Nothobranchius furzeri: one gene and its partner. The main gene of each other region encodes a partner of the protein of the gene in region 2 in a complex. Links are inferred from orthologs where the notes say so. Each region holds a gene or a part of one and is shown on either strand. Other genes may lie near its edges. The genes, in order: rab3gap1 and rab3gap2.

Evidence for each region.
Region 1: the proteins of rab3gap2 (region 2) and rab3gap1 are in contact, whole or in part, in a cryo-EM structure (PDB 8VYB), measured with the Homo sapiens proteins. The link is inferred for Nothobranchius furzeri from reciprocal best matches to the Homo sapiens genes RAB3GAP2 and RAB3GAP1. Residues at the interface, in NP_036546.2 of Homo sapiens: Arg197, His198, Pro199, Gly200, Ser276, Pro277, Phe278, Asp279, Met281, Lys282, Ser285, Asn286, Ile287, Gly289, Phe290, Asn291, Ala292, Ile294, Arg377, Phe378, Gly379, Leu380, Pro381, Asp382, Arg385, Cys395, Thr397, Leu398, Arg407, Arg415; in NP_036365.1 of Homo sapiens: Thr19, Ser21, Trp23, Glu24, Glu142, Ser143, Asn146, Leu147, Leu149, Ser150, Ser153, Ile154, Ile169, His170, Trp173, Arg174, Met176, Arg187, Asp189, Glu191, Met192, Val193, His194, Leu195, Arg196, Pro199, Tyr202, Ile211, Ser214, Lys215.

The regions. Positions count from the first base shown.
Region 1 is NC_091756.1:3,938,888-3,942,753, reverse strand, and holds the end of rab3gap1 (rab3 GTPase-activating protein catalytic subunit), read right to left. Parts: intron 2,741-3,866; coding exon 2,625-2,740; intron 1,375-2,624; coding exon 1,272-1,374; intron 1,153-1,271; coding exon 919-1,152; 3' UTR 526-918; downstream 1-525. UniProt on the Homo sapiens protein: Catalytic subunit of the Rab3 GTPase-activating (Rab3GAP) complex composed of RAB3GAP1 and RAB3GAP2, which has GTPase-activating protein (GAP) activity towards various Rab3 subfamily members (RAB3A, RAB3B, RAB3C and RAB3D), RAB5A and RAB43, and guanine nucleotide exchange factor (GEF) activity towards RAB18.
Region 2 is NC_091758.1:43,886,352-43,890,160, forward strand, and holds part of rab3gap2 (rab3 GTPase-activating protein non-catalytic subunit), read left to right. Parts: coding exon 1-96; intron 97-183; coding exon 184-263; intron 264-331; coding exon 332-430; intron 431-507; coding exon 508-647; intron 648-1,203; coding exon 1,204-1,399; intron 1,400-1,484; coding exon 1,485-1,628; intron 1,629-2,698; coding exon 2,699-2,781; intron 2,782-2,854; coding exon 2,855-2,919; intron 2,920-2,989; coding exon 2,990-3,080; intron 3,081-3,155; coding exon 3,156-3,277; intron 3,278-3,352; coding exon 3,353-3,566; intron 3,567-3,647; coding exon 3,648-3,745; intron 3,746-3,809. UniProt on the Homo sapiens protein: Regulatory subunit of the Rab3 GTPase-activating (Rab3GAP) complex composed of RAB3GAP1 and RAB3GAP2, which has GTPase-activating protein (GAP) activity towards various Rab3 subfamily members (RAB3A, RAB3B, RAB3C and RAB3D), RAB5A and RAB43, and guanine nucleotide exchange factor (GEF) activity towards RAB18.

The DNA of each region.
Region 1 (3,866 bases), on a different chromosome or scaffold from region 2:
GTTCTTCAGCAGCTCCACGGGCTTCCAGTTTGAGGTCCACCTTCAAGATGGTCCTCCCTTGGGCATTGCACCCATGGGGGATGATGAGGTTAAACACTGACACTTTTCCTGCAGTTTTGCTCAAAAATGTTACTATCAGTCTGGTCTCTCCCCCCCACCCCCACCCCCCACGCCCCCCACCCCCCACCCCATTTGCTAATTTAAACCCGTACCTTTGTGCACCTGTGTTACGTTAATATCCATTCACATAACGTAGTTCAGCACTTTAGAGAGGGAGCGAGACGCCTGTCATCCAGTTCTGGAGCTCATGCGGGCTTCTGTGAGCTGGATCCGACCCAGAAACCAGCTCCACTGGCTCACTGGTGTTTTTAAAAGCCACACATCCTCTCCTGGTGGCTGCTTGACAGAATGGACTCAGAGGCATAATTAGCTTGTTTTGTGAATTTCAAGCATGCTGTGTCATCTTAGCAGGCACACGTTAGCATGACCTGGCTAACAGGGATGGGCAAAATAACAGCAGAGAAATTTCATTAGATTTATTTATTTATTTTTCAGACCTGTAGCATTACTGGACTTACATTTTGGTGAAATGGTTTCACATAACATCACTTGATGTCTTAACCATGAAACGGAGAATCACACTTAAAATCAAATACCTCCTCCTCTAGAGGTATGCTGAGCCAGCAAACTTATTTCTGACAGCAGTCTGAGGTGAACCTGGGCTCCACAGGCTGTTCACACCTGCTGGGCCTTTCTGTGTTTAGGATACAGTCACGCACATCTCTTCTGATGGAAGGTTTTGTTGAAAGGTACAGAAGGGAAATGACCCCCAATAAAAAAGAATGTTTTTCTAAATTTTAAGCTGTTTTGCATCAGCCTTCAGTCTGATGTGTAAATCACCATTTACCAATAAAAGTGTTAAAAGAAAGACGTGTCTGAGGAGAAGGCCCCGGCCAGTCTGAACTCCTCCTTCATCAGCACACAGAAGAGCCTCTGAGGCAGAGCTTTGGAGTATGGAGCTGGTCGAGGAACATACGTTCGCAGAATGATCTCCCGGCCTGCCGGAGAAGGGAAATCTGATGTTTTCCCGCTTTCACCAGCTTTCTTTCTTTCAGGCTCCAGATCATCATCGCCTGGTACCAAGAGGGCTGCCTGAAGAACAGGAGGTAATGGTCCCAGAGATCAGCAAAAGAGGTGAATCGCAGATCTGACAGAACACAACTCAAATAAAAAGAAGGTGGTGTGTGTTTGTGTGTGTGTAGCAGCTTTACCCGCTGAGCATTTAAAAACAGCCTGTGGATAATCCTGCCAGTAAGACCCTGACCAGCTCCCGTCACCACCACCTCTGGTTCCTCCAGCAGGGAGCTCACAAACCTGAAACAAAACAAACACCGTCCTCATGCAAGTGAGGATTCAAACCCACACACGCTTAAACATATAAAGCAGCTCTGAATCTCATTCCTAAGCAGTTTCAGTCCAGCTCACACCTTCCTGCATCTAACCAACACGACTTAACACGGGGTACTTGGAGGAGTTTCTGCTCCTTGAACGACAGACAGCCGGACTCTCCCATATTCCAGTCAGAACTGACAAAGCTCCTCGGATGAGAAGCAAAACGTCTTTAAGAAACCAGAGAAGTCCAGTTGTCTTCATCTGAACCCTTCGGATCACCATGACCTGGATGACTGAGAACCTTCACCAGCACGTAGTTGTGGGCATTCCCTTTGTGAGTGGTCATTTCCATGGCGGTAAAACATTCGGGATTTTGTGTCAAAACAATGTAACAGGAGAGCCAGAGTCACAAAGGCGTGTCTGTATGGGTTCCTTCACTGCTGATGGGCTGCTCAGGGAAGACATTTATGTATGTGGGTGGAGTCTAGGCGCGTCTCAGTTCCTGACCCGGGTAATACTCAGCAGGCTTAAGGGTTTCGGACCCGTGAGATGGAGAGCTGGTCTCGAGTGATTTCTGGTCCTAGCTGGAGAGATCACGAGTTTGGTATTGGACAGGACATAGTCAGACTTAAAACCACACAGAACTACGAAAATATAGATTGAACAAACTAAGTAAATATGTCACAGGTGTGGCCTGTCAGGGGGCTGACTAGACCGCAGTAATAATGTACAGGTGTGCCTTAGACGGTTCTCTGAAGACACCTGGATGCTAAGCCACTAAACTAACAGCCAAGATTCTAACACTAAATCATTTTAATACTAGAAGCTTTGTTGGGACTCTGAATCAATGCTAATGCTAAACAATAGCTAAGCTACAGCATAAACACTCACTTGTGGCTAACCCGAGTCTCAGCGGCTACCAGACGTGGCCGAGACCCCGGTGCTTGTCTAACCTGCAGCCGCAGCGCTGCTACGGGTCAGAGTACCGGCTATGCTGACTGTGCTGTTTCAGCCATCGGAAACGACACATTCCAGCTGCTGTTGCATGCTTGAGAGCTGAAGATGGCGCCAGACTGAATTTTTTAGGCTGAATTTTGAGCTTTAAAATAAAATGCAAACATAGTGACTAGACGTGTCTACTACACTGTTAGACACTCATTTATACAGTTCACCAGCAAAAACAGTTGACTTAGGCGTGACTTGCTCTTTAAGTAAAACTGTATGAAACGTACTTCTTCAGCTCTTCTGTGGCTTCTCCAGGTTCCCCTTTATCAACAGCAAACTTGTCCTTGAGCGACCTTGCTCTGGTGATGACGGTCTCCATCACCACCAGCTGGTTAATAAAATCCTGCAACAAAGCAGTCCAGTTTACAGTTTATAAAACTCATGTGCATTGTAGGCATGTTCAACGTGAGGCCCGGGCTTCAGGAAACACTTCTCTACTACCACAGCCCTTCTGAAACTCACCGGTGCCATTTTCCTAGATCTTACCAAAGCATGTCATCTAGCGGATCACTTTCTAGATCTTCACTTTTGTGGTTTAATTTTTGTCTTCTAAGGGTAGCCAGTAGCTGATAATGAAGGCATAGACAAAGGGATTCCTCAAGGTTCGTCACTAGGACCTTTATTATTTCCTATTTTTATCAACGACCTTCTATTGAGCTGCTTAAACTGGGACATTCATCTCTATGCTGAAGATGCTATTATTTATTGTGCTAAATCAAAAACTACAGATCTAGAAACTGTTCTACAACACGATTTTAATAGTGTGGTTATCGACAAACAAGCTTATTTTAAATAAACCAAAATCGTACTCCATGCTGTTCTGTAGAAAAACTACGAGTAACTCCAGAAATGATTTAAATTTTTGTATTTTAGATGCATCTCTGCTGAAACCAGTAGAAACATTTAAATACCTAGGTGTTTGGTTGCAAACGGAAACTACGTCAGTGCTAGGGGCTGCAAGACTTAATTTTTTTTTAAGTCAACTTTGACTAGTCGTTGATGACGTCACACACCTGAAGCTGGGGGGTTGGCTCGCTGGAGTTTTTGACAATTAAAACTGCGCCCACGCCTCTTTTAACAACGGTAGTTTCTGCATCTTGCTTCTGTCCTGTCTCTGTTTATGATCTTCCTGCATCTCCTCTCAATCCTAAAGAGAAACTGCTACCTGGCTTCATATATATTCACCTTATGAGTTACCTTTGAACTGCAGTTCTAAAAGATCTACTGACCGCAAAAATAGCGGAGTGCTCGCCGGCCGCACCGGTGCGGTGAAGTTATTGGAGGACAAAACAGGTGATGCGCCCCGCTCCACAGCAGCGAAACGCATCAGGCACAAATAAAAGACAGAAAACATAAAAGGAAATGAGCCGACATGAACGATTGCGTGTTAAATCTGTTTTTGAGGTGGTGACACCTGATTTGATAACATTACTGATGCCGTGCTCAGGAGGAGCTTATTCTCATCCCAG
Region 2 (3,809 bases):
GGCTTCAGCGCCACGGTGAAAGGCAGCCCTCCCGCCATGAGCCAGTTTGTCACGGTGGGAGCCGGACCGTTCACGGGCTTCTACTACGCTGTGGAGGTCAGTGTGTTTCTGCTCCTAAACGCTGGAGTTTCGGCACAAACCCGCGGCAACGCCAGCACGTTCAGCCGTTTGGTGTGTTTCTAGGGCAGCTCCCAGCCTCTCCTGTCCCACGTGGCTCTGGCTGTGGCCAGTAAACTCACCTCTGCCCTCTTCAGTGCTGCCAGGTACGAAACCTGTTCTGTAGCAGGTAACCGTTACCTTTCACTCGTCGCACTCACTGTTTTTGTCTTAGTGGCTGGTTGGGTTGGAGCAAAAACAGAAATAAGAACGAAGAGGAAGCTGCTCAGAAACAGAAACCCAAAGTGGAGCCCGCAACCCCCTTAGGGATCAGGTACGTCTCAGGCTGACTCCGCTCCTCCACAGGTGAGTCCCGGCGACGTCGCTAACAGGAAGTTCTCCTTCTTGCAGATTTGGTCTTCCGGACTCCCGGCGCCACGGAGAGTCCATATGTCTGTCTCCTTGCAACACGCTCGCTGGAGTGACGGATGACTTTGGTCGAGTGACGCTGTTGGACCTGGCCAGGGGCATCGCCATCCGCATGTGGAAAGGTACGAAGGAACGAGTTCGACCCCTAAAATCAAATGGAGAACTCTGAGTTGCACGTGCGTGCTGGACGTGAGGAGGAAACGGCGTCCTTCGTATCAGACAACGCCACCTCTGTGTACTAACTAGAGGAGGACGCCGCGGTCTTCTCCGTGTGTCTAGCCCCGCCCACGCGCTCAAAGCTCTCCATGTTCCCGAGAAGGCTGTGTGAACAAAACCCGGCCACTTGCGGTGGGACCAACGCTACAAGGACCGGCCGGGAATGGGCCAGATGCGAAAGCGCCATTACTTCCTGACATTTGGACATCTCTCCTCTGATTGGCTAACAGCAACACGACTCTACCACTGACTCTGCTCTGCAGCTCAAGCCTGGAGGAGTTCTGCTGGGTGGTGGTGATGCTAATGCTACCCCCACTCCTCTAGCTAACTTCTAGCCCTTGAAACAGAAGCGCCAGAGCTTTTTTTTCCTCAGACAATGACTCACGAGGCGTTCGCTAACTCTGGAGACGGCGGTACATGTATCACAGGAATGAGACCTTTAAGGATTTTCTTTAATTACAGGTTACAGAGACGCCCAGCTGGGCTGGCTGCAGGTTCAGGAGGAGCGTGGTGATCGGGAGTTCTCCCCGTCTGCCTCCCTTCCCAGACGTCACGCTTTGTTCCTCATCATCTACGCTCCTCGCAGAGGAATCCTGGAAGTGTGGGCCATGCAGCGGGGCCCTCGGGTCGGCGCTTTCACCGTGGGCAAGCAGTGCAGGTATGCAGCGTGAGCATGAAGGAGCCAGTGCTTCATGTCTGTTTGACCAGAGTCAGAGATCAGATTCTTTTGGTGGTTTCTGCAGGTTGCTGTTTGCCGGCTACCGTCTGATGGGGGTGAACAGTGTGACCAGTCAGGGCTGGCAGCTCCACACGCAGCAGGTGTGTCTGCTGGATCCCACCACAGGAGCTCTGAGGAGCATCAACATTCCCTTCCACCTGGCTCTCAGGTTGGTACGGGCCAGAGTTGGAAATAATTCAAGACTCTGACTTTGGGACAAGATTTTGATATATTTCCAGTGATTTTGCTTTAAAGCAACGCTAAATACGTCCGCCCACTTCTCCCGCCTACTGGTTGAAAGCTGAGTTACAGCTGCAGCAGCAGCCCTGCTGTAGCTAGCGAGCTAACGCTAACACGAGTCAACTGATTCCAAAATAAGCCACGAAGTAAAAGGTACACATTATCACTTACACGTCCAGCAGCAACAAAGCCAGGTCACCATCGGTCCATGATTTTGTAGCCTCCTTTAGCTAACTCAATGTTCTTTCTGGTTTTAGCTCGTTACTTCGTTTCCAAAGACGTTACCCTCCTACTTTTACTCCCAGGCTTCGCTGTGATACCAACAAAAAACTCAGACTTCTTCTATTTCTTCTTCTTGTGCTTTTTATCGCTGGTTGGCAAACGAACAAAGCTGCCTGATGCTCTTTATACTAGCTACCTGCACCGTAAACAGCTATTACCGTAAAGCAGGCGGCGATCTCCTAGTAGTGTTCCTACCCACGCCACAAAACTGTTAGCCCGGTTTCACACTGGAAGCAGCGGAGCGGCTTCCTCGCTGTGCTCACGAGATCGCACGATCCCTCGACACTTCAGGCCGCGGTTTGTTTATTCAATCCGCCGTTAAACCAAAAAGGAGGAAATGTTGTTTTATGTCGCTGTTTGATGCCAGATATGATGATCCTCTCCACTGCCGGGATCAAAGCCGTGGAAAAAACACTGCTGCACTTCTGGAACGATGTTGTGAGCGAATGATCCTGGATATCGCCGCATCGCTGCTGGTTTGGAACGGTCCATAGACTATAATGGACTCTATGTGAAACGGTGACGTTCCGCTGAGGCGTTCAGTGTGAAACCGGGGTTGGGTCCACTTCCTGATCAGAAGAAGCGGTCCCGCGGGTAGGCGGTGAAGTTTCTGCCTCGGGAATGGCTGAAACCAGTTTGAAAGCTCTCTGCTGCGTTTGAGGACAAAACAGAAGTAGAGCTGAAATGTTGATGAAAATCCGCTTTTCTCCGTTTCAGTGACAAAAAAAACGAGCGGGCCAAGGACATGCACCTCTTAAAGAGGCTGACGGCTCTAGTGAAGAGCGGCGACGAGGATCCCGGTAACAGATCCGTGAAAGCTTAAAGGAATCACGGTGCAAGATTCCACTTTTCATTTTGTCTTCTCTGTTACAGAAACTTTGGAGAGTGAAGCAAAAAGCGTCCTGTTGGAAATTAAACACCCGGTTATTAAGAAACAGGTATAACAGAACATTAAAACTGGGTTAAGGCGTACGTCGCGTCTCTAACTCCAGTCTGCGTCTCCCCCAGGCTTTGGAGTCTCTGCTGTCAAACGAGGGCACGCCTGTCTCTTGTCTCACCAACATCACGAGGGCCTTACACGACACCTTAAAGCAGCAGGGTAAAGCCAACGTTCTGCTATCAGGGAAAACCGGACAGACTGTCAAGTCCCCTTCTTTGTGTTTTTGTCCCACAGCTGCTGATGAAGTGGAGGCGTCGCTGCTGCAGCTCTGCTCCTCACAGCTGAAACTTCTTCAGCTCTTCACAGACATCCAGCAGCTGCAGCTGGCTGAAAACACCGAGGCCTGCTCTGGAAATGTGCGTGTGGATGAAACGGTGACGAAACATAAACCCAAGTTCCAGCTCTCCGGGTAACGTTCCCTTCTCCCACAGCGGGACTCCCTTGAAGGCATGGGGGAGGAGTTGTCGCGCGCTGAACCAGCCTTGCGGCGCTACGCTAACTTTAACGCCAAACCCAGCGTTTCCTTTGCTCAGGACTCTCCCGACACACCTTTACCTGCCCACACTTTCCTGTCCCTGCTGGAGTGTACAGAGGGAGGCGAGGTTAAGGTGGTCCGCAGGTCCGATGCAGAATGGAACCAGCTAGGTAAGCTAACATTTGCATATTTATATCCTTATTTAATGTGAACACGGACTTTGCTGTCTTATGATGTCGTTTGTTTTGCAGGAACTTTCGTGTTCTGGGGTTGTTTATGTGGTCAGAGCTCCATCCATAAAGTGTGTGACACACTGGAGCAGGCGGGCCTCAGTCCACAGCAGCTACTGGTCAGGACTTAATCCCAGTTGAAACAAAAATGCTTCCCTGTGTTTAGGAACTGATTCCTGTTTG